7 linked regions of the Rattus norvegicus genome follow. The protein of the gene in region 3 purifies or fractionates together with the protein of the main gene of each other region. This does not show direct contact. Links are inferred from orthologs where the notes say so. Each region holds a gene or a part of one and is shown on either strand. Other genes may lie near its edges.

The links.
Region 1: the proteins of Rpa2 (region 3) and Parp1 purify together in Homo sapiens (affinity purification with mass spectrometry; 3 studies listed by BioGRID and IntAct, counting the BioPlex papers as one, with this or other methods). This does not show direct contact. The link is inferred for Rattus norvegicus from reciprocal best matches to the Homo sapiens genes RPA2 and PARP1.
Region 2: the proteins of Rpa2 (region 3) and Atr purify together in Homo sapiens (affinity purification with western blotting; 3 studies listed by BioGRID, with this or other methods). This does not show direct contact. The link is inferred for Rattus norvegicus from reciprocal best matches to the Homo sapiens genes RPA2 and ATR.
Region 4: the proteins of Rpa2 (region 3) and Hltf purify together in Homo sapiens (affinity purification with mass spectrometry, with the first as the bait; 3 studies listed by BioGRID). This does not show direct contact. The link is inferred for Rattus norvegicus from reciprocal best matches to the Homo sapiens genes RPA2 and HLTF.
Region 5: the proteins of Rpa2 (region 3) and Cdk7 purify together in Homo sapiens (affinity purification with mass spectrometry; 3 studies listed by BioGRID and IntAct, with this or other methods). This does not show direct contact. The link is inferred for Rattus norvegicus from reciprocal best matches to the Homo sapiens genes RPA2 and CDK7.
Region 6: the proteins of Rpa2 (region 3) and Prpf19 purify together in Homo sapiens (affinity purification with western blotting; 4 studies listed by BioGRID, with this or other methods). This does not show direct contact. The link is inferred for Rattus norvegicus from reciprocal best matches to the Homo sapiens genes RPA2 and PRPF19.
Region 7: the proteins of Rpa2 (region 3) and Zup1 purify together in Homo sapiens (affinity purification with western blotting; 3 studies listed by BioGRID, with this or other methods). This does not show direct contact. The link is inferred for Rattus norvegicus from reciprocal best matches to the Homo sapiens genes RPA2 and ZUP1.

The regions. Positions count from the first base shown.
Region 1 is NC_086031.1:94,856,293-94,860,298, forward strand, and holds part of Parp1 (poly [ADP-ribose] polymerase 1), read left to right. Parts: coding exon 1-1; intron 2-1,209; coding exon 1,210-1,350; intron 1,351-1,887; coding exon 1,888-2,127; intron 2,128-2,335; coding exon 2,336-2,404; intron 2,405-2,611; coding exon 2,612-2,744; intron 2,745-3,255; coding exon 3,256-3,451; intron 3,452-4,006. UniProt on the Homo sapiens protein: Poly-ADP-ribosyltransferase that mediates poly-ADP-ribosylation of proteins and plays a key role in DNA repair.
Region 2 is NC_086026.1:105,379,157-105,383,162, forward strand, and holds part of Atr (serine/threonine-protein kinase ATR), read left to right. Parts: intron 1-256; coding exon 257-489; intron 490-1,637; coding exon 1,638-1,772; intron 1,773-3,507; coding exon 3,508-3,708; intron 3,709-4,006. UniProt on the Homo sapiens protein: Serine/threonine protein kinase which activates checkpoint signaling upon genotoxic stresses such as ionizing radiation (IR), ultraviolet light (UV), or DNA replication stalling, thereby acting as a DNA damage sensor.
Region 3 is NC_086023.1:150,259,292-150,263,905, forward strand, and holds the start of Rpa2 (replication protein A 32 kDa subunit), read left to right. Parts: upstream 1-1,480; 5' UTR 1,481-1,565; coding exon 1,566-1,575; intron 1,576-1,772; coding exon 1,773-1,879; intron 1,880-1,971; coding exon of another isoform or gene 1,972-2,205; intron 2,206-3,494; coding exon 3,495-3,596; intron 3,597-4,565; coding exon 4,566-4,614. UniProt on the Homo sapiens protein: As part of the heterotrimeric replication protein A complex (RPA/RP-A), binds and stabilizes single-stranded DNA intermediates that form during DNA replication or upon DNA stress.
Region 4 is NC_086020.1:104,477,330-104,481,830, reverse strand, and holds the start of Hltf (helicase-like transcription factor), read right to left. Parts: upstream 3,067-4,501; 5' UTR 2,892-3,066; coding exon 2,872-2,891; exon of another isoform or gene 2,812-2,871; intron 1,674-2,811; coding exon 1,466-1,673; intron 1-1,465. UniProt on the Homo sapiens protein: Has both helicase and E3 ubiquitin ligase activities. Possesses intrinsic ATP-dependent nucleosome-remodeling activity; This activity may be required for transcriptional activation or repression of specific target promoters.
Region 5 is NC_086020.1:33,575,360-33,579,365, forward strand, and holds part of Cdk7 (cyclin-dependent kinase 7), read right to left. Parts: intron 2,269-4,006; coding exon 2,119-2,268; intron 504-2,118; coding exon 356-503; intron 1-355. UniProt on the Homo sapiens protein: Serine/threonine kinase involved in cell cycle control and in RNA polymerase II-mediated RNA transcription. Cyclin-dependent kinases (CDKs) are activated by the binding to a cyclin and mediate the progression through the cell cycle.
Region 6 is NC_086019.1:216,964,947-216,969,495, reverse strand, and holds the start of Prpf19 (pre-mRNA-processing factor 19), read right to left. Parts: upstream 2,990-4,549; 5' UTR 2,803-2,989; coding exon 2,784-2,802; intron 757-2,783; coding exon 607-756; intron 448-606; coding exon 371-447; intron 1-370. UniProt on the Homo sapiens protein: Ubiquitin-protein ligase which is a core component of several complexes mainly involved pre-mRNA splicing and DNA repair. Required for pre-mRNA splicing as component of the spliceosome.
Region 7 is NC_086038.1:31,344,418-31,348,423, forward strand, and holds part of Zup1 (zinc finger-containing ubiquitin peptidase 1), read right to left. Parts: intron 1,796-4,006; coding exon of another isoform or gene 1,613-1,795; exon of another isoform or gene 1,354-1,612; intron 1,322-1,353; exon of another isoform or gene 1,168-1,321; intron 233-1,167; coding exon 64-232; intron 1-63. UniProt on the Homo sapiens protein: Deubiquitinase with endodeubiquitinase activity that specifically interacts with and cleaves 'Lys-63'-linked long polyubiquitin chains. Shows only weak activity against 'Lys-11' and 'Lys-48'-linked chains.

The sequences.
Region 1 (4,006 bases), on a different chromosome or scaffold from region 3:
GGTATGGCTCCAGGAAGGATTATGGGCTGGGTTCAACCTATGAGTCATGCCAAGCAAGGACATAGCATAGTGGATGTCCTGTGGTCTGTGTACCATGTGACTAACATTCCTTAGAGTGTGTTCAGAATATACAACCGGTGTACCGTGAACCACATCCCCAGTCTCCAGGCCCCTTGTCCTCCCTGCACTACCGACCATCAAGAGCCTGGGGAGACCCTGGTCATGAATAGACATGACCGAGGCCACATAAGAGTGAATCACTGTGCCTTGTTGGGAAGGAGAGTGCTACTTGCTCCTTCAGGCATGTGGACACTCCTAAAGGCTGTAGAGGCCATGCTGGTGTGGGCAGAGGACAAGGTTCTGCTTCTGGGCACTAGCCCAGCTGCACCTAGTCTGCCCTTAATGGTGAACTCATTATCCCAAGTCCTCTCCGCTGCTTGAATCCTGGGGTCTGCAAACACATGTGGTCAGTTAGAGCCTGCTTTCTGCTCCTCCTTGACAGACCCTTTCTCTGCTGTCTCCTTGCTTGCAGTTCACACCTAAATCAGTGATTTTGTTCTCTACAGAGACTTCAGTGAACGCAGGTGGTGTCCTCACTGTCCACCCCCTAGAAAGAGCAGTTAGATCTCCCAGTTGTGAGATCTGAAGCAGAGGCCATGGCCTGACTATAACTAGTGCTGTGTTTCACTCACAGAGGCCCATCCATCCATGCCAACCTGGCAGTCAGTGCTGGGTACTTGGTGCTTAACTCAGTGTGGCCATACTGATCAGACCTTTCAGCTTGGTCAGCTTGTGCTTTCTTACTCGGGAGTTGGGAGGAAGAGTATGGAAGGACGCAGAGCTCTCACCACCCACCTTCTTCTGAGCATTCTGGCCTCATCTCTAGATTCAGCCTTTCTAGTCTGCCCCTGAGCAGGCCCAGGGTAGCCAGCATGGATCACCCATTTGTTCTCTGTGTAGCCTATGCCCTACCCCATTTTCTCTGTTGCACACTCATGGGTTGGGGTCTTGGGTTTGCTGTTCTGCCTTCTGTTTCCCTACTGCTTCTGTCTTCTTCAGAAGATTTTCCCTAAGAGAAGAGTAAAGGCCAGGGCTGGCCAGACTCTGACCTCTCCTGAAGAGCCAGCTGTTTTGTCTTGCCTTTGTTCATCCTTTCCTGAGAGCGCAGTAGAATGGTCTTAGCCTGACGCTTCTGATCTCTTACCCCAGACAAACCCCTGTCTAACATGAAGATCCTGACTCTTGGTAAGCTCTCCCAGAACAAGGACGAAGCAAAGGCCATGATTGAGAAACTCGGAGGCAAGCTGACAGGATCTGCCAACAAGGCCTCCTTGTGTATCAGCACTAAGAGTAAGTTTGACGGGCGCGTGCCTCTCAGAGGTGGTGAGGGTTCTGTGGCACAGCTAGGGTCAGACACTTCTCACTGTAGCTTGTAGGTAAAACTGGTATTTGTACTGTATTCCGTGTGTTCACACAGGCTCCTGGTCCCAGTCAGACCATAAGCTTACACTGCTCAGTGTTCATGGATGACCCTGGGTTCCTTTGTAGGCAGGCGGAGGTTACCACTTTGTGGTCTGGTGATGGATGCCAGACCCACATTTATATTAAGACTGTTCTGCTAAGTGTTATGGTCTGGGCCTAAGAGTCCATTTCTGCTGAGTGCCTCCTGACACCACACTCAGGATTTAGAGAAGGTGGCCACCCTTGGCTTTGTGGACCAGAGGGACAGCCAGTACCACTGGAGCGTGACTGCTGAGATGAGGTTCAGCGTACAGCTTGGGAGAGAAGTTGTTGGTCATGGGGTCGTTGGCCTTCTCAGACTGTAGGAAGGTAGCCGTTCAGCTTATCGGTTGAGGTTTTCATTTCTCCCTGTCTGGTTGTAAACAGAGGAGGTGGAGAAGATGAGTAAGAAGATGGAGGAAGTGAAAGCAGCCAATGTTCGAGTCGTGTGTGAGGACTTCCTCCAGGATGTGTCTGCCTCAGCTAAGAGCCTCCAAGAGCTGCTCTCAGCCCATAGCTTGTCCTCGTGGGGGGCTGAGGTGAAGGTAGAGCCTGGTGAAGTGGTGGTCCCCAAGGGGAAGTCAGCTGCACCCTCCAAGAAGAGCAAGGGTGCTGTCAAGGAGGAAGGTGAGACCCACCTGCCCTACCTGTGACCTTGGTTCTGTGTCCCTAAGGTGCTGTGGCGAGCAGTATCCTTAGTTCAGTGAGCGGACACAAAGCAGCAGGCCCTGTGGGGCAACAGGTGGTGTGCAGGTGCCATGACAGATGCCTCTGGAAACTGTTCTGCCTTTGCCTAAGTGGAGTCTTTGTGTTCCTCTGTCCCTTCCTTCCCAAGGTGTCAACAAGTCTGAAAAGAGGATGAAACTAACTCTGAAGGGAGGAGCAGCCGTTGATCCTGACTCTGGTGAGTGATCAGAGCCTCCCATGCCCTGGGAGATTAGGAGATGTCTCTAGTCAGGGTAGCTAGAGGGGAGCAGGCCAGTCCTGGACGCATGAGGGTCAGTGGGTACCTCTAAAGGTGTTGTGACATGAAACTAGCTGGGGACATGAGGCCTCTGTTCACCCTCTCCCTTCAAGGGAGAAAACCATAGGAGCTTTGTCTCTGGGGCAGGTCTGGAACACTCTGCACATGTCCTGGAGAAAGGCGGGAAGGTGTTCAGTGCCACGCTTGGCCTGGTGGACATTGTGAAAGGGACTAACTCCTATTACAAACTGCAACTTCTGGAGTCCGACAAGGAGAGCAGGTGAGCCTGGGCCTCCACACTGAGTGTGTGCTGCCCACCTGTGGAAGTCAGGCCGCTGCAGGGCCTGGAGCAAGAGAAACGGTCACAAAAGCCTATAGCGTTTGAAGTTCCTCCATAAAAAATAGCCACTCCTGAGTATCACTTATGCTGCCTTGCTTAACCATCACGGGTGTAGCTCCACTGATCCACTGGGCTATTCTGTTAGCCTCGAACTCGGAGGCCCACCTTCCTGTTACTTCCCAAATGCTGTGATTAAAGGCGTGCGCTACCACACCTGACTTCAAATTTATCGTTTTATGCTATTCCACACTTGCTGATCACTAGAATGAAGGTTATAGTTTAAACATCCTCTCTCAGTTATAGATGCTTGCCTAGTGTGTTCGAGGCCCTGGGTTCCACCTGCAGCACCACTCAATCAACACATGAAGGAGAGAGTGTGCTTTTAATGCTGCCCCTTATGGAGGAGGGCCTAACAGAACAGAAGCTCACCCTGGTCTCTGTCCCTTTACAGGTATTGGATCTTCCGGTCCTGGGGCCGAGTGGGCACAGTTATCGGCAGTAACAAGCTTGAGCAGATGCCGTCCAAAGAGGATGCTGTTGAACACTTCATGAAGTTATACGAAGAGAAGACTGGAAATGCCTGGCACTCGAAAAACTTCACAAAGTATCCCAAGAAGTTCTACCCTCTGGAGATTGACTATGGCCAGGTAATCACAGTAAGGTCTGTTCCTTTAACTCCACAGATATGTTTAAAGAAGAGTTAACAATACCAGGTGACGAATTCTTCCCCCCAAAGTGGAGGAAAACTTAACCAACTCATTCCATGAGGCCAGTGTTACCAAAGAACATCAGAAGAATATGCTGAACACCATCTCTGTAACGTAAAATCCTAACTAGTAAGTCAGGCCGTGTATGAGGTTTGTACACCAAGCTCAAGTACAATACAAACAAGTTTGAGGTTGTTGACATTTCAGTGTGCCCTGTGAGTGAGGGGTAGACGTCACATGAGCGTGTGGGAGCCACAGAAAACATTTTGTAAAATGTATACCATAAAGCATCGAATGAGTAAGAAAGGAGTGGAGGGAGCTCAGGCTGGGTTTGAACTCACATCTTCCTCAGCCTCCTGGGCACTAGGATTACAGGTGTGTGCAGTCGCAAGTGTTGTCAGGTCCACTGGTAGTAGATATTGGGGCACCAAGGAAAGGTGGTTTCTGAAGTTGCTTGTAGAAGATTTCATTGGAATCCATGCGTCACCACTGAAG
Region 2 (4,006 bases), on a different chromosome or scaffold from region 3:
GTTTTTTCATTTCTTGATAGCTCTAATACTTTGAAAGATGTCGGTATACATACATACCATAAAACTTACAGCAGATGATGGAAACAAATGCCTCTTCCATGTAAATGCTTTTCCTGTCTACACAGTCTTGTCAGACAGCTAGCTGTGGACATGCAAATGTTGTCTTTTTAAAGCTGTTTTATCAGGGTTATTTTTTCTGTGAAATGAATTGAAATACTGATGTTGTTTGTTTTTCCTGCCTTAAACTTGCCCTTAGGTGGTCGTTCTGATCGTCTGCAAATGAGAAATGATTTGGCAAAAATAAATAGTGTACTCACAGAGCACACAAATCGGTTAGCACCATATCAGTTTTTGACTGCTTTTTCGCAGTTGATCTCTCGAATTTGTCATTCTCATGATGAAGTTTTTGTTGTCTTGATGGAAATAATAGCCAAGGTCTTTCTGGCCTATCCTCAGCAAGCAATGTGGATGATGACTGCTGTGTCAAAGGTAATCATTAGTTAGCCACTTACTGTGTCAAGTTTTTTTTTTTTTGTTGTTGTTGTTGTTGTTGTTGTTGTTTTCTTTTCTTTTTTTCGAAGCTGGGGACCAAACCCAGGGCCTTGTGCTTGCTACCACTGAGCTAAATCCCCAACCCTGTGTCAAGTATGTTTAAAGCAAGTATATAAATACAAATTCCAGGGTCCTGGCCTATATTGTTAGTAATTTTCCTATAGAGAGAAAAATATAGAGTTTAAATATTTTGAGATACTTATCATATGAAATGAAGTTACCAATATGTGAAGAGTAAAGACTTGAGTAGTACTGTCTTTGTGAAGTTTTTAATAAATATTTATAATATAGCCACTTTTTAAAAGATTATTTTTATGTGTATGCGTGTTTTACTTGGATGTATGGCTATGCACCATTTGCATGCCTGGTGCTCAGGCGTCAGGAGAGGAAGTGTTGACTCGCTGGAACTGCAGTTAAGAACAGTTATAAATTGCCATCAGAGTGCTGGGAGTTGAACCCAGTTCCTCTGTGAAAGCAAGTGCTCTTAATCACTGAGCCATCACTCCAGCCATGTGAAGTTTTAAGTGTTTTATTCCAAGATCTTGAAAATCTATTAGCGGGCATATACAAGTTGATTAGTATATTTAATGAGTAAATATTATAGAAAAGTTAGTATAAAGATAAAAGGAAAATTAAAATTCAGACTGTTACTTTTTCTTGTAACTTTTTATGTACTTTTCTAATCCTATTTTAACAGTAAATTTTAATTAAGTTGACAATTATATTTTTACTTAAATATTAGATGATTAAATAACTTTAGTATTAGATAAATTATATAATATTCTTTGACAACACATTTTTGTAATTGGACAAAATTATAAAAATAGCTAACCATTAGTTCATTAAAGTTTTGTTTTATTTTCCTTCTGTTCTGTTGTGCTACGTCTCAAAATATTGGATTGTTTCATCAATGAAGATCCTATCAAAAGTATTCACAGGCTGTATGATTAAAATGGTGTTATCAAATTGATTTCCTAGACGCTTATGTTATAAACTCACATCTTAAATAGTCTTTTAAATTGATTCTTGCCAATCAGCTTTCCTATAGAATTGTATTTAATCCCCACCCCTTTTTTGATTGACAGTCTTCTTATCCCATGCGTGTGAACAGATGCAAGGAAATTCTTACCAAAGCTATCCATATGAAAAAGTCTTTAGAAAAGTTTGTCGGAGATGCAACTCGCCTAACAGACAAGCTACTAGAGTTATGCAACAAATCGGTACGTTCAGATCTTAGTGCACAGCAAGCCATGAGAGATAATATACAGAAGAGTTATATAGAAACTGGTTTGTGAGTTATGCTGTTATGTTTCATTAAAGTTTTAAGTACATCAGTATACACATACCAAAATATATCAAATGGTATATTTTAAATATATATCTTTGTATCTTTTTCCCCGACCCCTCTTCTTCATATGCTAGAGATTGAACCAGAAACCTAATCTTGCTAAACAAGGGCTTTACCACTGAGATATACCTCTACCCCCTGTATGATTTACCTTAATAATTCTGTTGTTTTAATTTGTAACATATGTCCCCCTTTCATATATCCTCAATGTTTCTGAATTTCCCTGAAAGTATATTTTAATAGTTATCAGTAGTTTTAAGTAAAAAATATTAAATCAACTATATAAAATAATATAAATAAATATAAAATATATTTAAAATGCATTAAAAGAGTCTTTGATTATATTGTCATATCCTTAAGTTTTGAAAACTTGCATGTCAGTCTACGTATCAGATAGGAAAATGAATGGAGAGTTTTTTTCTTGGTTAATTGATTGCCTTTAAATAGTGTTAGATATCAAACCCAAGACTTTATCCATAGTAGGCAAGTACTTGATTCATGAACCCTTGATTTTCATTTTTTCAAGGTATATTTCAATGCATAGGCATTGTGATGAAGGAACAAAGATGACTAGTAGAAATCTGTCTGGAATTGCTGGTACATTTGTAAGGAAGTAAGCAGTGGCTATCATCTGGAGTAGTAGTAATTATTTTCAATATGCTTGTGACTGAAGTAGGAAGGTAGATAAAGCAGTAAATCACTGTTCTATGTTAGGATTGGGGGGGAAGCTAAATGTAAGAGATCAAAGTATATGGGGTGATTATTAAAGGGAAAGGTTCTTCATCAGGTAAACCGCTTCATTTGACAATCAAAATCCAGTAACCATTTCTAGGTAAAAAGATAAAGGTTACCCTATTTTTTCCCTTCCTTTCATGAATAACCTATTCTCAAAAGCATAACCTTTCATTATTTCCATTAATTGTATTTGACCTCCGATGTACTTAACACTAGGAAAAATGTACTTATTGGATGCTGGCCCTATAAGTGCTTTACATGTTCAGGTGCTTAGTTCTTTATCTGAAACCTTAGTTTTTTTATCCTAACTACACTTAGGAATTCAATTTTTTTCTCATTTTAAAAGTATTCATACTTACATTGACTATTCTAACTGATGGTAATGTATCAGAATATCCAATAATCAAACACACATAGCATTCATCTTTACATTAAGAAATTCAGTATCGGGGTTGGGGATTTAGCTCAGTGGTAGAGTGCTTGCCTAGGAAGCGCAAGGCCCTGGGTTCGGTCCCCAGCTCCAAAAAAAAAGAAAAGAAAAGAAAAAAAAAAAAAAGAAATTCAGTATCATCTTGTTGTTAAATGAGGTTTGGTAACCAAAAAGAGTTATCTACAGATTTTCCTGATAATAGATCTCTGGTTTCTACTATCTCCTCTGGTCATTAAATACTCCTGTGATAGAGGCACATTATTTATAAGGTAAAAGATTTAAATGAGAAGATTAAAGATACTTAGGACATTGCACACTGTTGAATAATTGAGGTTGTGAAAGTAAAATGTTTAATGTAATTAAAGTTCTGTAATTTAAGGTTAACTCAGAAAAATTGAAATATGCTGTTTGTTTGTTTGTTTGTTTGTTTGTTTGTTTTTAGGTTGATGGAAGTAATTCTACATTGAGCATGAGCACTCACTTTAAAATGCTTAAAAAGCTGGTAGAAGACCCAACATTTAGTGAAATCCTCATTCCTTTGCAGTCAGTCATGATACCTACTCTTCCATCAATTCTGGGTGCCCATGCTAATCATGACCCCTTTCCTGGGCATTGGGCCTATCTTGCAGGCTTCGACGATGTGGTAAACTTCAGTTTTATATAACTATAATATAATTTTTAAATGTAGTTACCTTCAAATTAAATGTAGAGAAGTGAAACTGTCTTTACTGTAGTACAAAGCTAACTGATACGGAATCATAACAAGCCTAACATTTTGATCTTCACATGCTTTTATTTCACGATGACTATTTTCTCATTATTATATTTTCCTATATTTTCTTTTGTCTTAGAAAAATGGAGAGCAAATGAGCAAAATACGTGTTTATTTTTTTCTTATGAGGAAACAAGATTCAGATTACTTGTTATTCTCTATGTGTGCA
Region 3 (4,614 bases):
TGACCTTCACCCTGATAGATGTTCTGCCAAATAATACTGAAATGTTTGGCCAAATTACTATGTAACCCTTGAAAACGCCCATATTCTTGCAGTTTGGGGGGCCTAATATAAACCTCACCTTCTGTGTCCAGTGTTTTCTCAAACACCTATTTGGGGAGGTAGCCATGTCTAACAAAATAAAGCTTGTTTAATTTCACCAAGAGAAAAAAAAAGAGCTAACGCTCTTTACACTCCTTCAGTGGGATTAACAGTTGAGTCTCTCCTTATACTCTGCAGGTCTCTGGGGTCAACCTCAGGTAACCTGGCTTGCTGAGCCATCTTGCTGGCCTCCATGAGGTTTCTTATAGGAGCAACAATCTTGGAAACGATCTGTGACTCTACAGGAAAAATTTCATTTCTTTTATTTCATTTTTTAAAAGATTTATTCATTTATTATATATAAGTACACTGTAGCTGTCTTCAGATACACCAGAATAGGGCATCGGATCTCTTTACAGATGGTTGTGAGCCACCATGTGGTTGCTGGGAATAGAACTCAGGTCCTCGGGAAGAGTAGTCGGGCGCTCTTAACCGCTGAGCCATCTCTCCAGCCCCTATTTCATTTTTTAAGACAGGGTTTCATCATGTAGCACCGGCTAGCCTGGAATTTGCTATGCAGACCAGGAGGCCTCGAACTCATGGAGATCCTCCTGCTTCTGCCAGAGTTCTGAGAGTAAGTCGTTATACTTGGAGATTTTAATTTCTTATAGAAAATAAGTAATCCCACGATGACCTGTGAGACTAGTACTGAGTCAGAGTCAGTCTCTCTCTCTCTCTCTCTCTCTCTCTCTCTCTCTCTCTCTCTTTATTTAATGTACAGTTCACTGTCGCTGTCCTCAGACACACCAGAAGAGGGCATCAGATCTCCTTACAGATGGTTGTGAGCCACCATGTGGTTGCTGGGAATTGAACTCAGGACCTCTGGAAGAGCAGTCAGTGCTCTTAACCGCTGAGCCATCTCTCCAGCCCCCAGTACTGAGTCTCTTAAGTTTGCAAATGGCATGCCACAACCGAGCACCAACGTCGAAAGTGTGACTTCTACCACAGCTCCTGAGATTCAGCTTTGAAGGCAAACTCGCAGTTTGGCGGGAATGGGGGGCGAGGGGTTAGCTAGCGAGCGGCGGAAGTGACGTAAGGAGTTGCGCACTCGCCGGGGATGGGGGGGTGAGGAGAACTTTTGGTTGGCCCAGGAAGTATTGTTTTGATTGGTTGTTTTCTTGAATACTGTCCTGTCAGGAATTCGCCCTCAGTAAAGATGGCCGCGCGGGCTTCCATTTCTTCTTGGGGCCGTGTGTTTTTCTTAAGCTTGGCCTTGATACCGGAAAAAGTGAGATTCGTGAGTTCTGATTGGCTAAAGGTAGATGTGTCCCAGGCGCTGATTAGCTGGCTCTTCGCGGGAAGGAATTTGTGGCGCCAGTGCAAAGTAGCTACAACGCCGCCACGCCGGAGCGGCAAACACTTCTTAAGTCTTCTTATTTTCCGAGTCCAAACTTCTTGGCCTCTTTCTCAGGAAAACTGCGACCAGGATGTGGAATAGTAATGGCGGGCATACGGGAGAGAAGGCAGAGAGTCGCGCGTGGGAGGGCAGGGCGGGAGCGAGAGGCCGGAGGCCGGGGCGGTGGCATTTGAGGGCTGGGAGGGGGGTTGTGGTGGCTGGGGCGGTGGGGACAGCGTTTGCCAGGTACAGAGTTGGGGAGCGCCGTGCAGATTCTGACTCTGTCGTTCACTACCAGGCGGATTCGAAAGCTTCAGCAGCTCCTCCTATGGCGCAGCGGGCGGCTACACGCAGTCCCCCGGTGGCTTCGGGTCACCCACACCGTCGCAGGCAGAGAAGAAATCAGTACGTAGAGTGACCCGCTCTGTTCTCATTTGTGTCCTCCTGTCCCGAAGGTCCTCACTGGTCCAGGAGGGAACGTGGTTTTGCGGGGGAGGATGGCACCCCAATTGGTTCGGAAGCTGTGGGTTGCCTACTTTTTCTCTTGTCTGGTCAACTGGGTAACCGTTTTCTCTAAGTGTTTGGCAAGCGTGCTGTGGTTGGCCCGGCCTCCACTTTCCTGCCCTACCGCTCAGAAAGTATGCTTTTGCAGAGTTAAATGTCGCGGTGCCCATCCACAGCTGGGACTACTAAAAAGCCTAAAGAACAAGAGTCCACTGTGTTCAGAACAGGTTTGGGGTTCATTCCTGTTGGAATTTGACAGGAAGAACGTAGTCATTGTATGACCAAGTGTTTGGGGGATGTTTGTTTGAGACAGGCTTACAGTGTAGCTCTGGCTGGCCTGGAACTCAGATATCCACCTGCCTCTCTACCTCTGGGGCTGGGACTAAAGATGTATGGCCACCAGGCTCATCATAGTGTTAGGGGTAGGGAGCAAGCAGTCTCTAAGGCTTACTGAGTAATTGCCCTTAACTTGTGGTTAACTGTTCTTTACCTTTTTTTTTTTTTTTTTTTTTTTTTTTTTTTTTTTTTTTTTTTTGAATCGGATGTACCTCTGTTGCCTAGGCTGATAGGGCTGAGGTGATTCTCCTGCCTTTCTGCCTCAGTTTCCCTGATAGTTGGGAAACGTTCTGGTGTTTGAAATTACCAGTAAACATTCTGAGATCCCAAATAAGGGGCTTCTTTCCATAATGTATCAGGATGTGGTCTTTTGTTTACATTAGTACTCTGCTTAAGCAGAGATAGTGTTGAGTTAAAGGCTTATCTTTTGTGCCGTTTCATTCGTTTTGTTTTTGAGACAAGTTTTTACTACCCATTTGTGTGTTGCCTGGAACCTGCTGTGTGTAGACCATTAATTTGTGGTGACCCTACTACCTGTCTCTCCTGACTGTAGGGATTACGTCAAGGACTACACAGGTTGCCTGTTGCCTCTGTGGTGTCCTGAACACTTTGCTCTTGCTGTATCTGGGATTTGCTCTTGCTATCCTCACTTCTCTAAGACAGAGGGGGGTGCGTGTGTGCGTGTGTGTCTATCCCTGGTTGTCCTGGAACTTACTCTGTCGACCAAGCTGGCCTTGGTCCACCTGCCTCTGCCTCCTGGGTGCTGAGATTAAAGCCATGGGCCACCACTGTCTAGCCCTGGGATGTGCTCTTGAAGGTTTGTTCTAAAGGCAGGCTTTCCTGTGTTGTCCTGACTCTAGTCTGACCTTTTCTTTGTGAACCCACAATATGATACAAACATCTCTCCACCTGGAGGTCTAGTATCAGATCAGTGTAGATGTGAATTCAAAAGTGTGGCATTTGCCATGTGTAGCAAACACTGTGAACCCTAGCACTTAAGGGGAGAGGCAGAGGAGTCAAATGTTAACTTTCTGGCCTTGTTTTCTGTCTCTTTGAAGCAAGGAGAACTTGGTTTGAAGTTTCTGGATTGTGGTATATACAGAGTGCTTGGCACATGGAGACCCTCGGTGAATGGTTGTTACTCTCTCAGGTTGACGTGATGCGTCCTTTCTCTTTGCAGAGAGCCCGAGCCCAGCACATTGTGCCCTGTACCATATCTCAGCTGCTCTCTGCTACTCTGACTGATGAGGTGTTCAAAATTGGGGATGTCGAGATTTCACAGGTATGTGAGATTTTGTGGAAGGACTGTGCAGGAATAGGATATAAGGGGTGGAAAGATGGTGGGGCCAGCATGAGCACTAGACCTCAGATCCATGTCCATGTACAAAGCCAGGAGTGATTACAAAACTGTAGGGTCAGAGACAGGAAGATCCTTGGGGCTTGCTGGCTCCAGGTTCAGAGAGAGACTCTGTCTCAAGGGAATAAAATCAATAGTGCTAGACCCGGTGGCCCAATGTCCTCTGGCCTCTGCAGAGGCATTCATTGCACATCTGTCTGCTCATTTGTGCACACCATTCATATGCATTCACGCAAGGAAAAGGAATTAAGACTTGCTTAATCGAAAAGTAGATAGCTAGTAACGTGCTCTATGGGTAGAAATGAATGCTTGGGCCTTTTGCACAAGCCTGATGACCTGAGTTCAGTCTCCACATTCTACACTGGAAAAAGAACTACATCCTCAGACCTCTGGATCATGGCACACATACGCACAATGGTAATATAACAATATTTTCTGAAAAGTATTTTTTAAAGCTGGGCAGTGGTGGCTCACACCTTTAATCCCATCCCTAGGGAGGCAGAGACAAGTGGACCTCTGAGCTCCAGGCCAGCTTGATCTGTATAGTTCCAGGATAGCCAGGCCTACACATTGAAACCCTGTCTCTTTAAAAAAAAAGTGTATGAAGGCATTCTTCCGTTGGAGCCTCTCTTGCTTGCAAGAGTAGTTTCTCAGTTTTCCTCATGAGTGTGTTCTATGCATAGAAACAGGTAAGCTTTGGACTGGACATGGCAGCTCATACCTGTAATCTTGGCACTCAGAAGGCAGGCAGGAGGATTTTCACACGTGTGAGGCCAGTCAGACCCATGAAACTAGTGAGACTATCTCAAAAAATGTTTCATAAATTGTGTTATGTGTGTGCATCTTTGATTTCCAGGAAAATGAGACTGTGTTTCTTTTCTTTTTCTATTCTAGGTCACTATTGTGGGAATAATCAGACATGCAGAGAAAGCGCCAACCAACA
Region 4 (4,501 bases), on a different chromosome or scaffold from region 3:
CACCGCAGTTTCGGACCTAGAGCAGGTAAAAAGACAGCATTTTATTTTTTATATTTTTACAACAGACCACTACGAGTTCACTATGAGTTCAGGGTCAACCTTGGATTACTTAGTGAGTTCCAGACCAGCCAAGGCTGGAGTCTTAATTCAAACCCCTTCCAACAGGGGATTAAAAAAAAAACTCTTAATGAGTGTTAATATAAAAATATGAAAAGGGCTAGAGAGATGGCTCAGCAGTTAAGAGCACTGACTGCTCTTCCATAGGTCCTGAGTTCAATTCCAAGCAAGCACATGGTGGCCCACAGCCATCTGTAATGGATTCAATGCCCTCTTCTGGTGTGTCTGACAGTGTACTCACATAAATAAAATAAATTTATAAATTTAAAATAAATATGAAAAAAATGAGGGAAGGAGAAAGTAAGAAATCAACAAGATTCCACAAAAGAGACCTTATTTTTAAATATACACATCTATAAAAGGAAATTAGAATGGACTTTATAGCCCATAGCAGCCAAAACTAATATAATAACCCTGTCTTGAGCTTAACTGGAAAAAATCCATTTTAAATTACCAATAAAATGCAATTATTGAGTGCTTATTACACATATGGGTTAATTCCATTAATAAAAATGAAATGTAAAAACTGTGAGGGTTCTTTAAAGATGTCTTTTATTTCTAACCATGTACATGTGTGTATTGGGGAGGGTAGTCATGTATGCCAGAAGAGGGCAGTGGACACCTGGAGCTGTAGGTGCTGTGAGTTGCCAGCCATGAGTCCTGAGACCAGAACTGCAATTGTCTGTACAAGCAGCAAGAATTCTTAACTGCTGAGTCATCTCTTCAGCCCCCAAACTGCATTTTAAAGAGATATACACTGAACTGTACTAATGTAAAGTGATACAACTGGTATCTGTTTTTACAAGACCAAAAACAAGAAAGCAAACATAGAAAATACTTACTAACCACTGATCTTATTCTCATTTTGTTTGAAATTTTCTCGTAATAAATTAGATAACATTAAAATTATATTACTAAATGACAAAGATGAAACTAATAAGGATTATTGTCCAAAGAAAATTATATATATTCTCAATCTGTCCCCTTTTCTTTCTCTCACACACACATATACACACATTCAGTTCAGAGAACAGGAATGCATTAGAAAGAGCAGGAAATAAAAGATAAAAACTAAATGCAAAACCTGGTGGCTTTAAAGTCTTTTTTTTAAAAGTCATTTCTTAAATTTACCACATACCTCAGTAATTAGAAGGATCAAATGTGTGGGCAAAAGTACTTTATATACTGCAAGCACGGTAGAAATGGTAAAAAATTGGTCAAAGTTGGTAAAGGTATTCATGACTAACCTTTCATTCAAAGTAAAACATTAATTGTATATATCACCTTTTAATATAATTTACTGTTAAAACCATAAAAATACAATTTTATTATCTAATCCTATACTTACAACTCCTGTGTAATAGCGTATTCCAACAACTTGTCCTCTCATAGTTCCAAATAAAACCAAATCTAGCTCTTCATCACTAGTTTGGAAGTCATCTGGAGGGATAATGTCTTGGAATTCAAAACGTGGAAAGAAAGGTGGGTATGAAAGTCTTGGAATATTTTCATGGGCTCCATACTGGGCAGACTGTGAATACTTCCAAACAGAATCCCTATTTTAAAACAAAACAGAAAGCTAAAACCACAGAACTTGATTAAGTTTTCCCTCCTAGTTTCAGGCTGATCACTTCCTTATATTTTATTTTAGCAAATGAAATGCTATGTGGCAACAATCACTTAACAATTTCCCTGAATAAATCAAGAATCCAGTGGAGAAGGTTATCCGAAATCTGACCTGTTAGATACTGGAACTGCTTTCCTGGTGAAAAGAAAACTATCTAAAGTCGGAAGCTACAATTACAATGTCAAAATTTTCGGTGCCTACGTGATGAAGAAGAAATGGATTTATAAAAACAAAATAACCATTACAAGATTTTTTTTTCTTTTCGTTTTTTATTTCTCTTTTCTCCTCTCCCTTCCCCTCTTCTCTTTTGTTTTTTTTTGAGACTGTGTTTCTCTGTGTAGCCCTGGCTATCCTAGATCTCACTCAGTAGACCAGACTGGCCTCAAAGTCGGAGATCCATCTGCCTCTCCCTCCAAGGTACTCTTAAAGCCACGTGCCACCACTGCCGGCTATGAAAATATTTTTGACTTTTGACATAAATACATGCACAGCATCTTCTGCTTTAACTCCTTCTGAACAGAACACATTAAATTGGGTATCTAAACTTGGGACATCATAGAGAGCTGACCTGAAGCCCCTTTACGTATACATCGCCCTATTATTTTAAAGGATAGGGATAATTATTGCAAGAATTGGAAAAAAAAAAAAAAAAAGAATTGGGCATGAAGACCACTATAGATGATGAAAAGATGCGTTTGCTGGAAGCCTCCTAGAAGTTGTCATTCTCCTAAAAACACACAGGGCTATCAAGTAGCGAGTTTCCCTTTCAGCTCCTCTGCAAATACGTTTTAGTAAGCTTCTGCACAGTACCAGGAGACACACAGGATCGGATTGCCATAAAATGGCTAGCAAACATTGGGATAACAATGGTGAATAAATCATTCCGGTCGGGTTTCAGATCCCCCCCTGCAGTCTTTGACGCAGATTCCCCGAGGTCTTAGCAGCCGATTCTCGGGTCAGCCGAGACAGTGCTTTGGTACCTCCACCACAACACCAGCAAGAACCCGCAGAAGGAATGAAAACAGCACCACAGGAATACAAGCTGCACCTATTGCCCGGGCGCGCACCTTCACTTGAGCAAAACGCAGAGAAACTGGCCTCACGCCCAGCCCCCCTCAGCCCTTCACCTCTTGAACTTCCAAGACATGGCGGGGGGCGGAGTGGCTTTGGAATGCCCTGGGCACCCCGGATCTTCTCAGACCGTCTGAAAAAGCTCCTCAAGGTGTAGCGGCCCAGGGGCCGGAAAGCAAGTCAGAATCTGGAGGCCACAAGCTCCCCGGGAGACATGTCTACGCCCACTCCTTCCTGCAACAATGTGAGGAACCAGTGACGTTCGGTGATCGGCACTGCGAGTGCCCAATCGAAAGAAAGAGTCTGAGAAAACCAACCAATAAGGATACGTGAGGGTTGGGAGCTCCGCCTTGTGCTGCGATTCAAAGGCGGTGTGGCGCGCCAGGGTTCCACCGAGTTCTGACGTGGTCGGAAGCGAGTTGCGCGGGAAAACATCGAAGCGTCTAGAATGAGGCACCTGGCTCAAGGTCATGACGGACTTGGGGCAAGAACATGACTTCTAGCCACTGCCCTGATGCCTCAAGGATATTCTCATAGGTCAGACCCTCTCTCTATCTGATGTAATGCCTAACAGGGCCTGCCTCATTTCTTCTCCTGAGCCCTGACTATATTTGTTCTTAGTGACCTCCGTGTATGCGAGACCCTGAGTTTTGGAAATCTGAGTGAGAACATACAAATTTCCCTCTCCCACCTCGTTTTAATCTTGTTTAAAGAAATTTTCTTCCCTTGGTAGAAGAAAGCCATAAAATAAGACAACCTTACAATTCCGTTGCTGACAAAGGCAGACTGGTCCAACATTAGTGTAAGGTCTGAGGTGGTGGCTTGGGCCACATGTATTTTCTCAGGAAACTGAAAGAGGCACTGTAAAGAAATTTTAGAATCTAAAGGGACATTCCACTTGGAGTTTTGTGTGCACCAGTATCAGCCACGGTAAAGGTGATTCCTTGGGGGGGGGGGGGGGGGAGAACCCTAACGTATTAAGAGACAATCTGTGCTGGAGGCAAATGTCAATAACCACGGCCTGGGAACACAGATTTAGACCACCCCAAATGCTATATTTCAACTGAAGCAGTTTCATGAAGTTTTTATACTAACAGAACAAGGAAAGTCATAAATGAAGATACTTTTCCAATACATTTGGTGTGACCATTAAGTAGGTGGGAAAAAGTATAATGAAGAACCTCTATTAGAGGCCTAAGATACTCGACATTGTCCTTGGCTTTTTAGTTTGTTGACAGGTAGTGCTGTTTGTACATTCCAAATTATTTACCCTGTGGTCATAGAAACATGTTAAGTACAGAGGAGGACAATAAATGGCTACTAAGAAGGCTAAAATGGCTCAAGATAATTTGGCTCTGGGTTTGCAGCATTCCAAACAGTGCACAATCATAGTAGCTCAGTTAAGGGGCCTTGCAGAAGATTCATTTGGCGGGGCATCATCTTTCCTGGGATTGTTGTGCGTGCTAAGCAGGCATTCTTCCTCTGAGTTGCATCTCTAGCTGTCACTGAGAATCTGTAGAAGGAAGTATTTCATTCCCCCAACAGGAAACTTAATGCAGATGTTTCATTTTCTTCAGTTATTTTACCATCTTCATGGTGTTTTATAATACAAATGCAGAGGTGGGTTTTGGTTTGGGATTTTTCAGTAGTGGGTATTGACTCTTAAGGCCTGTGCAAAATAGGCAA
Region 5 (4,006 bases), on a different chromosome or scaffold from region 3:
CCTGGACAAATGTACCTGACAGCCACCTGCAGTGCCAGCTCCAGACTGAATGAAGCCCTCTTCTGGCCTCCACACATATATAACATATATTCACACACAGCCACACAAAAGTGTATTTAAAAAAAAAAAAATAAACGGGTTGGCAAAGGTGCAGGATAGAAGGCACACATCAAGGACAGCTCTTAGAACTCTCAGGCATACTCAAAGTGCCTCAAGTGTCCTTGGCTGAAGAGAAGAGGAACACATTCTATTTCCTACGTAAACAACTGAACAGCTCTTTTCCTAACTGGCTTCCAGTGCCAGCGATAATGAGCTGTAGAGCTTTCTGATGTCATTTATCGATGGGGACTGTTACCTTGTTCTAAGGCCTCCGCTCTTTTCCGTTTTGTCGCCATGGCTGGATTTGACTGTTCCTTTAATGCTTCCACTGGACAGTTTGGTCTTGGAAGCTGGCATCCAGGTGTTGGCCCTGGACGATTACTGAAGTACTTGGTCCTCAACGCCTTTTCAAAGAAAAGAAAGCAAGGTCTTATTCTTTTGTCCTATTTTGAGACAAGACGTCACTGTGGGGCACTGGCTGGTCTGTAACTTGTAGCTGTCTTCCTCCAACTTGTCTCTGAGTGCTGGGTACATAGCCATGTACCACCATGCCCAGCTCAAAAGGGGTGCTTTAAATGTTTGTACTGTGAGTAGGAAAATCTAGTCCCAAATTGTTGACAGCATTAAAAATAGTATGCAAATACTCTTATAGCACCAAACAAAAAATTAGCATCAAGTATTTGGACACAATACATAAATAAACACCCAGTATCCTGCAACTGGCTGATACTGTTGGCGGGGGATGTGGTTGGAGGATAGAAGTGGCACACTCCCTTCTAACATTTGTACAACCACAAAGCCCAAACTGGAACCAATAAATTACAAAACAATAATCTACTGTGAATGGTAAAAACTTGTTTGGGCCAATCCAAGGTTGCTTTAACCACTAGAGTATAATGTTCTAGAATTTACAGTTTTATATAAAAGTGGTTTCCTCTCAAATGACAAGTTTGTCAACTAATACCTATTTATAATATGCCAGTACTGTTAACAGCCACAGTGATTTATTTACTCTAGACTCTCTCCAACAGTCAAGAAGATCAGGTACTCTTATTTATAAAATGTTTTGAAGTATAATATTTTGATTATATTCCCCCCCTTTCCCAACTCCTCCCAGTTCCTCTGCGCCTACCCATCTTCATACTTTCTCTCAAAAACAAATAAACAAAAACAAAATGAAGTATTAATCTCAAGTATTTAGAGGGCACAGGAAGGTGGATCTGTGCGTTTGAGGCCAGCCTGTCTACAAAGTGAGTTCTAGGACAGCCAGGGCTACATGGAGAAACAAACACTGTCTCTAAAAACCAAACAAACAAAGAAACCCCAAAAGCAAAACCAAACCAAACAAAAAATTTACAAAAACCCAAACCTGACAAACTGCAGGGAGAGGGGGTGTCACACCTTGGCAGAGGCAGGACAGCCTGGTCTATAGAGTGACTTCAAGGACAGCCAGGACGACAGAGAGAGAGACCCTGCCTCAACTCCCCCTCCCCCTCAAAAGGAAGAAAGAGGTAAGAAGTTACCATTTCCAACTATGTCATACTGAAGTCAAGGCCAACTTGGTCCTGACTCAAAAATAAAGAGCTCAAATGAAGCAGGCTGGAGAGATTGCTCAGCGGTTAGGAACAATGGCTGCTCCTCCACAGGACCTATGTTTGGTTCCCAACATCCGCCCTTCAACCTTCTGTAAGTCTGAGTCAGGGGATCTGATGCCTTCTTCTGGCCTTTATGGACACTGTACATACATGGTGTATAAACATACATGCTGCCAAAACATCCATACACATAATTAAAACAATCCATCTGAAATCTGTCAGTGGCGTGAGAACACACACACCTCTAACAAGTGTAAACTCTTATGTGATGTTTGCATAACAAGACTTCCTATCAGCCAGACACTGTCTATAGCTTCAGGAAAGGACACAGACACACACACCAAAGATAGACCTCTCGCCCTGGTATTTAAGGATATTAAAAACTTTAGAAACCTGAGTTTGTTTTATTAATGCTGCTGAGTACCTGTGAAGCTGTAATTCTAGTACATGGGTTGAATAAGAACAAGCCTTGTATGAGCTCAAGCAGGTCGTCTCCAGCTGCAATGAAGATGTGCTGCAGGGGGATGCCAGGGAAACTCTTGAACGTCACGTAATCTGGAAGACTACACATGTCCTGAAAGACAAGTAGGATTCAAATTTAAGTAACGTATCCAAAGACACAGAAATGGAAGAAAGTAACAAAATGTGGCCTGTTAAGATAGTCTGTGTAGAAAATCCTAAGAAAACTACTCATAGAGAAAAACAAATTAGAACTGGTAATATGTAAAGAGTAGAAGACATAGCATAAATGTATCTTAAAATCATAGTTCTACAGACCCACAACAAACATGTGAACACAAGAAAGAATGGATTCTCCAAAAAACAGGGTTAAAATTCTGACATTTTACACATGTAAACAAGTTAATCTGAATTTTATATACAGAAGTAAAAGTCTAGTTAGTTGAAAAAATTTGGAAAAGAAACTAGTGTTAGTTCTTACATGTACATATTTTAAGACCCAACAGAGCAACTTCAATTCATACTGTGTGCTAGTGATGGAGAGACAGGGGGATCAGTGGAGTACACAGCGAACCCAAGATCCACAAGTATCTGCCAAGCACAGTTCTGGAAAGGCATGAAGGAGTTCTGTCAAGCCTTTCCAACAAACAGTGCTGCAGCATGTGGACACCAAGCACGAAAGTACAGCTCGGGATAGGTAAGGTAATGCCCTCCATAATCCCACCACTGCAAAGACCACATAGGAAGCTGCAGGCCCTAATCAAACAAACAAACAAGAAAACCAACCCCAAATAAACCAAAACCAAAACGTTCATTTAGGAAATTGAGAAATAATATGAGACATTCCTTAGATATTAACTTTAGCTTTGGATATTTTTGTTATAGTTTTAACAAGATGATAAAAATTCTGCTTAAAGTGTCCACCTTTCTTCCTTTTTTGGTGAGAGAGGGAAGCAAGAACTTGTGTGGTGTTTATATGCCTGTGCTATCTGACTGAATCTAGAGTTAGGCTATAGCACTAGCCAACCAGCAAGTCTCCTTGCCTGTGCCCACAGGGCTGTGCCCACAGGGCTGTGCCCACGGCAATGGGGTCAAGGCATGCTGTACTTTTTTTCTCTCTTTTTTTTCTAAGGTTGCTGAATATTGGAATTCAGGCCCTCATGCTTGAGCAGTAAGTACTCCTAACTACTAAGACATGTCTACAGGCCCCAGAATTCATTTTCTTCACATTTATTTGCTCCTCAGAGCTTGGGACTACAATGGGAATAAAAAGCCAAAAGCTTCTCAACTTTAAGAATCTAAGTAAGGGGGCTGGAGAGATGGCTCAGTGGTTAAGAGCACTGACTGCTCTTCCAGAGGTCCTGAGTTCAATTCCCAGCAACCACATGGTGGCTCACAACCATCTGTAAAGAGATCCGATGCCCTCTTCTGGTGTATCTGAAGACAGCTACAGTGTACTTATATATAATGAATGAATACATCTTAAAAAAAAAAAAAAGAATCTGGGTAAATAGTAACAGGTTGTTGTTGTTGAAAGCCAAGCCAACCCAAGGCTTTCTCAGAGGCCCAGACAAAAAGACAGAGAGAGTTCTGCATCCTTGCTGAGGGACAGACTCAATTCTGGGGCTGGAGCCTGGGCTTGAGGGAGTTAAGGGCTCTAGGAACCCGACTTTAACCCCCAAAGAAACTGGCTCCTGAGCACCTGGTCCAGGAGACACCTGAGATTCCTAAATTCTATTTGTGGATCGTTGCCCCATGGGTTTCCTGCTAATCTGTTATGACTCTGACTCTGTCCCATTTGCCCCTGCAAACTGTAGGTGAGATAATGAAATACTAGCATGAATCATCAGCTT
Region 6 (4,549 bases), on a different chromosome or scaffold from region 3:
TGCTGTTCTTCCAGAGGACTCAGGTCCAAGTCCCAAACCCCACAGGGTGGTTCACAACTGTTCATAACTACAGTTCAAGGGATCACACACCAACTCCTGCCTCCCAAGCACCAGGCACGTAAGTCATACACAGTCATACATGTAAGCAAAAGGCCATACACAACATAAAACTACATTAAAAGAGGGAGGGAGGGAGGCCTCATCTGTTCAATCCTCAGGTCCTAGCCCGGAGGTGCATTCTTTTTTTTTTTTTTTGGTTCTTTTTTTCGGAGCTGGGGACCGAACCCAGGGCCTTGCGCTTCCTAGGTAAGCGCTCTACCACTGAGCTAAATCCCCAGCCCCCGGAGGTGCATTCTTTTCACAGACTCACCCACTCATCCTGCAAGGCTTTCAGAATGGCTGGGATGCTGGTGGCAGAGGGAGGCTTGGGCCGGATTGGATGAGCAACTGCCAAGAGAGGCAGCAAAGCAGGTATGAAGAACTAGAACCCGGGAACTCTTCCCCTCCCCCACTCACAGCCACCATCTTCTCCACCAGATTGGCACCACCTCCCACTCTTGAAGGCTGAGCTGAGATGGCCTTGGACCAAGGCTATTGGGCAGGCACCTTTGATGTCGATGAGCTGCTCCTCTGAGAGAGGCTGGTTGTTGATAGGATCTGTGCCATTCTCTGCAATGTACTTCTCAATGAGTCGCCGCTCATACACATGATTAGAGACAGGGGACACGCATGGGTGCTCTGGCACTTCGTTGGAGACTATAGAGAAAGACAGGTAGTGAGCCACAGGGTAAAAGGAGACTCTTCACTGTGTCAGCCCCAACAAGACCCTGTCCTTTATAGTCAGCTATCAGGAAGCAAGGTCTGTGACAGCAAGCCTGCCTGTACTTGGTCCCACAATGCTTGCCAACTACTTACCTAGAATCTCTGGTCTGCTGATAATAAAAGTCAATAAATAATAACTGCCCAGATCCTATGTGCCAGTGCGGTATAGAGTGGTCGATCTCTTTTTTGAACCCAGATGACTAGGCACATGACAGAGAAGTACACAGAGCACAACTCAAACTTCTGTCATCCATCGGGAGCCCGAGATGGATCAACAAGAGAAATTACAAAGCCATGTGACAAGCACTGATAAATTAAAAACAAACAAACAAAAACTTTCCATTGCTCTGCTACTACGTGCCAGGCAGAATTCTATTCTAAGCGCTCGACAGAATAGTCTGTGTACCCTTGAAGATGGGACTTACAGCTGTCACTGACCTCCAGGACAATGCAGAAGCGAAGCACACACTTGATAAACATCAGAGCAGATTAAATAAGTGCAAAAGTACTGGGGCTCAGAAAAGAATATCCCAAAGTATGGAGCCCTGGGCATGCCAAACTACCAAAAAAAAAAAAAAAAAAAAAAAAAAAAAAAAGCCTCAAAAGCAAGAACCAAGGTCTCTCTGACCTTCTCAGACCCCCCTTGCTTCTCTACCTTCCCCTAAAAAAGACAACTGGATCACTCAAGCAGACAAGTGAAAGCTACCTCCACATCAGACTCTTCTGAAGGCCGCTCTAAGATAGTGACTTATCACATCACAAAACAGCTCTTATTCATCACATAATTCTATTCGCCTTCCCATAGGTTGTGAGTCAACAACCCAAGGCTTCAAGCTCCTATCCTTCTCAGTGTCTTCCCTTAGAGTCACTTAATTTTGCAGGACTCCATGCACATGTAATTAAGTATTTGTTTCAGTACTTAAAATCCCTATTTTTGTATATGGCTTTCCTGTCCTATTCTGTAGGTTTATCTCACTACTCAACGACTGAAGCTTTCTGAGAGCTTTCCCTCTCCTACCAGAGGAAGGATGGCCCTGGGCATGTAAGAGTGTTGTTTCAAAGATGAAAAGGAAACAAATCGTTCATAAATACTTTGCAAACTGCTATTTCTTCACTATGAGACTTCCTTTTCTGTTTGTCATTTCCCTCCTTCCTTTCCCTCTTTGAATTAATGGCAACGTTCTGAGAGGGAAAGAGAGAAAGTGAGGAAACTAGTAATGGGGTAAACAACTGGGAGAACACCCGCAATGCCGTAATACAACACCCAAAGACAAGACCATATACTACATGGGAAAACCATGGATCCAGGCTCAAAGAACCGAGCTCCATGGCTTAGTTTCGTCGCACACCCCTGGATAAACCCATTCTTCAAGTCTTCCGACAACCTCTGTAACACACGGATCTTTATTTCCCTTCAGACAATTCTTGTAAGCATAAAATGAGATCACCGTTTGGAAATGCATCGTAAATCAATACAGGTTTTCTAAACATTCGCTGTTTTCATTAGTCATACTGCGCGAGGCTAGAAGCCAGACACCTGGCTTCCAGCCCTGGTCTCGAAGTCACTGCATGATCTCTGCAAATCAGAAACTCCAATTCCTAAGCGAGGTTTCCCAAGCAATATCCATTGCAATGCTTTCAATTTTGCAGGTGGGGAAACTGAGGCCCAAACCCGCTAGAGCCCAGATCACAGTCGGAGGCGGATCCTGGACACGTCCTCGGGTTTTTGACACCAAGAGCTGTTTTTCACTGCACCAGCTCCTCCCCCCACTTCTGCTCAGGCCTGTCTCAGCTCTGTAAAACGACGCTGGCTTCAAAAGACCCCTGAGACAGTCATTCTTCCCAGCTACGTGAATTGCGCATCACTGCGCAAATGCACCCTGCACGCAGGGCCGGGGGCTCTAGGGCCCGAGCCACAGCGGCCGCACACGCTCCCGCCTCCCGCCGCAGCCAGCACTCACTCGAGCAGATCAGGGACATGGCGCCGTCGTAGCGCTGCTGCCAGTCGCCTCACAGCGGGTTCCCGGACTAGCTCTGCAGCCTCCGCGGGCCACTTCCGGTCCCCCGCCGCTTCCGGAGCGCTCGGACGCGGGTAGACAGCTGCCCGGCGTGGCGATGCTCGCACAACTGCTTCACGTGGGGAGGTGGCCGGTGGCGCGCCTCAGCCTTCTGCAGCTAACGGAAACTGCCCTTTCCCAGCATGCAACCGAGCAGGAAAAGGCCCGCCTCGGAACACTCGGCTGTTTCCGCATTGGCTCGGCTTCTTCCGGCGAGTTTTCCAAGAGGCCTGAGGCGGGAAGGAGAGCAGAAACTACATTTCCCATGAGGCTGCGGGGATCTTAAACCTAGGAATCTGGCCAAGGCTGTTTTTGAGGCGGAGCTGCTGTCACCCAGGGAACACTAGTCTTTGAAATGTTCGTGTGCAGGACAGATTTCTCAGGAGCTTGTAAAAATGCAGATTCCTAGGGTCTGCCTTAGAGAGTCTGTAGGTATGATTCTGAGCCTGTGTTCCTTGGCTGCCTTTTGAGAAACAATGTGACCCCGTAAATAAAGCACAAATGAGTAAAGAAGCTAACACTGTCTAGGTTCTGTCTCTACTCTTGCTCTGGGAATTTGGGCAAGTCCCTGGCTTCGTTGCCTGCTACGTTTTAAATATAGTCTGTTTTCTAAACTCGAGGGAATTTAATTCCTGGCGTTTATGTGAATATTTAAAAGAATGGAAAGTTGATGGGTGTGTTTGCACAAGTCTTTAAGCACAGGCACTGAGCTGCAGAGCCAGGCAGAACTCCGCGTTCAAGTCCAGCCTGATCTGTACAGTGAGTTCTAATCCAGGACAATCAGGGCTGTGTAGAGAAAGCATGTCCCAATAAACAAACAAACCGTAAGAGTGGAAAGTTAACAGGACTATGGTGTTTTTCTGTGGTTTCATTTTTGTTTCTGTTTTTCAAGACAGGGTTTGTGTGTGTGTGTGTGTGTGTGTGTGTGTGTGTGTGTGTGTGTGTGTGTGTGTGTATAGCCCTTGGCTGTCCTGGAACTCAGTCTGTAGACAAGACTTGACTCAAACTCAAAGATCTTCCTGTCTCTGCCTTTTGAGTGCTGAAATCAAAGGGATGTGTCATTACTATCTGGCTTAACTGTGGCATTTAGAGGTGGGATCTTTGGAATTAGAATAGGACATAACAAGAATCCTGGTGGGGTTCTTATAGGAAAGAAAGTGAACAGGCACAAATGCATGAGTTGACTTCCATAGTTGTGACACCAGAAGAGGCCCTAGACATTGCCTGTGTCATTCCCTGTGAACCTTGTGCTTCTAGAACTTTGAGCCAAGAGGGCCCTCTTTTCTTTAAAGTAGCCTGCCTCCGATATTTGTTAGAACAACGGTTCCCCGCCACCTACCAACTGTTTATGTTTTCTCTAACAAAAACCAGACCGGCCGCTGGGCCTGATACCTGAGTTCAGTCACCAAGACCCACGTGGCAGAAGGAGAGAACTGACTTCTGCATATTATCCTCCAACACACACACACACACACACACACACACACACACTAAAATAAATAAATAGTCTGGGCTTGGTGGCACATTGAGAACTTACCTCAGAAAAAAGGTAAGTAGATAAAGTAAAACTAAAATGGAGTGAGTCACACTGGAGTTCCATGTTACCAAATTAAAACTAGCTTTCTGACCTTCTGAGAAACCAGGACAGAAAGAGGTGAAGGCCACATTTT
Region 7 (4,006 bases), on a different chromosome or scaffold from region 3:
GGTTTTATTCCTCCAGCGGTACATGCAATATTAAAACTGTGACTTGAATTTTTAAGCACTCACCAGAAGTTTTTGTTTTTCCATCATCAATACCAACAGCGATTGATTCCAACATGTCAGCTTTTCTGCTGTGGAACTCAGATGGATGCATTCGTCCCCTCGTTACTTCTAGCTCCATGTGTCGCAGCTGCTGTTGTTTGTATCCTCCAGAATTATCTAAGCCGTACTGCCGCTGTGAACATAAAACAAGTATCTTATCTTTACGTCCCTGTACTTCGACCACGTGGAAACTTATAACTCTCATTTTTTGGAAATGTATGTTGAAATATTCTGGTTTTTGGATTTTTTCACACAAGTAACTGTAAAGAGTTAATGAAAATTAAAATATACATCCATAACTTAATAATTAGATATTTCTTTAAGCTTCTGTAACCCTTATATAGAATTAGTTGCTTTCCTTATAGTACAAAAATGAAAGACCCAGCTTTTTGTTAAGGTATTAAGAAAAGTAAAATCCCAAAGATACTGATGGTTTCAAAAGAACTTATGGGAACTTGCTATTTGTCCCAACGCTGCTTCAGTAAGGCCTACTTAGTTCACTCACTACTCAAGCATGCTATGTCATAAATGAGCTGTGTTTCTGCAAAATGGACGGAGACTCAAACATCAACCGCCTTTACGGATAAACTTCCTGAGACCTAAACAACTTACAGGGTGACATCATTATCATGGTTAATCTCCATTACCAAGTTGAAATGATTTTAAAATCACACTGAAAACAAATTTTTGGGCATGTCTGTGAGTCTGTGTCTAGACTGGGTTAACAGAGAGAGGAAATCCACCCTAAATATGGCACTATCCCATGGGGTGAGTGGAAAGGATACAGAAGTTCATCCCTCCCTGTTTCCTGGCTATGAACACAATGTGGGCAGGCACAACCATACCCTCTTCCTTTAAGGTGCCTCTGGTCAGTTATTTAATCAACAATGTGTAAGAACGCTTACCAAGGAGTGGGCCTCTACTGACCATGGACTCTTAGGCCTCTGGAACTGGTTTATGAGGAGGATTGTGGATGTTTCAAACTTAAAGCTCAAAAAGCCCTTGAATATTGTGAGCATGGCTTATGGGGGTGGGAGGATGGACAAAAGAGTGGAGAGATGAGAATACCAGGAAGAATGTAACAGTGGCAGCTTGGCTCAGCGGGTGTCAGAGGCAAGGTGGGTTCCCAGCTCCTGCTCCTAGCACCACGTCTCCACACACTCCACCACGGTGAGAAGGAACTAACTCTCTGAAACTGTAAGCAAGCCCTTAGATGCTTCCTTTGTAAGAGTTACCTTGGTGTGGTATCTCTTCACAGCAATAGAATATTAAGATAACTGTAAAAGAAATAAGCACATTAACAGGGAAATGGGCACTGTGCACTGAGATCAAAGGAACCTTTATTCTATCCACTAAAGGCTCCATCTAAAATAAGGGGGCGGGGGAGGGGCGCGGGAGGGGCGTGGCAGGAAACTGAGACTGCCACTGAAGGGTTCTCTAAAAACAAACAAAAACAAACAAACAAAAAACCCTATCATATAGGAAAGTGTTTCCCCATGGTTGACACACTAGGTTAATTACAACTGTGGTCCAAGGGGCAAGGCTCTATCTCCAGATAGTAGCAGAACTTGAATGTTGATGCAGGATTCACTGGGTTTTGCACTATGGCTCTAGAGAGCCACTGAGGCCATGAGTGTGCAGAGTCCTCCCACGGCAGTGTCCCAGCAAGGAGGCCCGGAGAGGTCAGAGAGTAAAGCTGTGAAGGTAAAGCAGAAGTTTGTAAGAGAGATCCTAGGATGCTGGCGATGACAGAGCCATAGGCTGTCTACTGAGGAAAGTAGGTGTAGAGTGAAAATGGCCCCAAAGAAGGCTATTTGAACTACAGGCAGTAGAGCAGGAGAGGCAGGACTACCCAAGCCCTCTGGAGTCCAGTGATTCCATCGCAAGTCCCAGATGCCTAACACGGAGCTACTGGGTTTGGTGCTTGTTCTGCTGCACTGTGCCTTTACACTGGCCTGATATTTCTTTTGCTGTATCATCACTCTTCCTCTTGGAAGCAGAACACCCACTCTGCACCATCGTATAGTAGAAGAACAAAGTGTGTTCTGTAATGTTATACAGGCTAACAGATAGGAGGTAGGTTAAACCTCACTAAGACTCTGACCTTACACTTTCGAACAGTACTGTACTAAAGACCATGAGATCATTTGAAGTCATGTACTTACATGCATAAAACAAGTATATACATTTTTTAAAAAAAAATGTGATGTGTTTGGGTGTCAAGGTAACAAATAGAGTTGCAATAGTACATTTTGACTGTCAACTTGATGGGATTTTCAATAAGCTTGAAGAGCTAGTGGAATGGTTCAATATTGAATCAAATCTCTGAAACCCATAGTAGAAGGGCAGAACTGATTCCCCAATGCTGTTCTCCGATTTCCACATGTGCTCTATGACATTGGAAAAGAAATGCACACAAATGCACAGAAGTAATAGATAAAATAAAAGTCACCATGGAAACAACCCTTGAGAGATGAATATGAGAGAGCTTATAGATTTGGTTAATTGAAATGGGAAACCTAGTTTGAATATGTATTGCACAATCCCATGGACTAGTCTTCCAGACTGAATAGAAAGGGCAAAGTGCACTGAGACCTCTAAATCATTTTATTGCTTCCTTAACTGTGGATGCAGAAAACCCAGCTACCTCCTAATCCTCCTGCCATGCCTTCCTCACTGTGACAGATTGTATCCCCTCAAACTGTAAGCCAGATGAACACTCTCCACTTTATGTTGCTTCTTGTCAGGTATTTGTTTGATCACAGCTACAAGTATCTAACACAATAACAAACTTTTTAAATGTTAGGGACTTTCTGTATTGTTGATATCCAAAAGGCCTTGTATATTTTTACGGTGTTGCGTTTTAAACATGAAACCACAGGCCCTGTTTTGAATACCTGTGTCTCAGACCAAGGTGCTATTTTGGGAGGCTTTTGTAGAACCTGTAGGAAGTTGTGCTTTCCTGGTAAAAAGAGGCCAGTAAAGAGCAGGCCCAATTCCTGTTATACCATTGGCTTCCTGTTTGCTCCACTGTGATGTGAATGGCCTCTCCATGTGGTTCCCACTATGATGGCCTGAAATTGTGAGTCCAAATAAAAATTTCCTCCCTTAAGTTGTTTCTGTAGACAAGTAGGATCACAGTACTGTAAAAAACTAATACGAATGATAAAACACACACACACACACACACACACACACACACACACACACACAATTATGAGGGGCGGGGGAATCCTAAATTAGATCTTCCAAAATATATTTCAAGGAAAAACAGTCATGTGTAAAATGTCTGGGAAAAAAAAAAGAAAATTGTATGTATAATACACAATACTAAAGGCTTTCAGGCAAATATAAATCTGGAAACATTTTTAGATCTGCTCATAAACCCTTTATGGCTTATCCTGTTAACACATACAAATGACATTAAGAACTCTACAGGGGCTGGGGATTTAGCTCAGTGGTAGAGCGCTTACCTAGGAAGCGCAAGGCCCTGGGTTCGGTCCCCAGCTCCGAAAAAAAGAACCAAAAAAAAAAAAGAACTCTACAAGTATTGTCAGTACAAATAACTGTAGTTCACAAATTAGAAATGGAAAGGGAGAAACATTAACATTTTTAAAGCATTAAAATCCCCCACATGCTGCAACTTTAGTCCAATAGATACTACATTCACATAAGGAAAATGCGCCCTCAAAAATCATAAACTACTAAACTCTGAACATCCACTAAAATACAAAATGTCTTCACTGTGTTCTTTAAAGGCACTTAGGACTAAGGAGAGAGAGACACACGACCTTTAAGGAAACAGCTTCTCAGTATAGCGCCCCACCTTCATGTCAGCCGACATTTGCACAGCTTCACCATTGCATAGCCTGACAGGCACACTTCTCTACCTAACAGTTGTCTAATC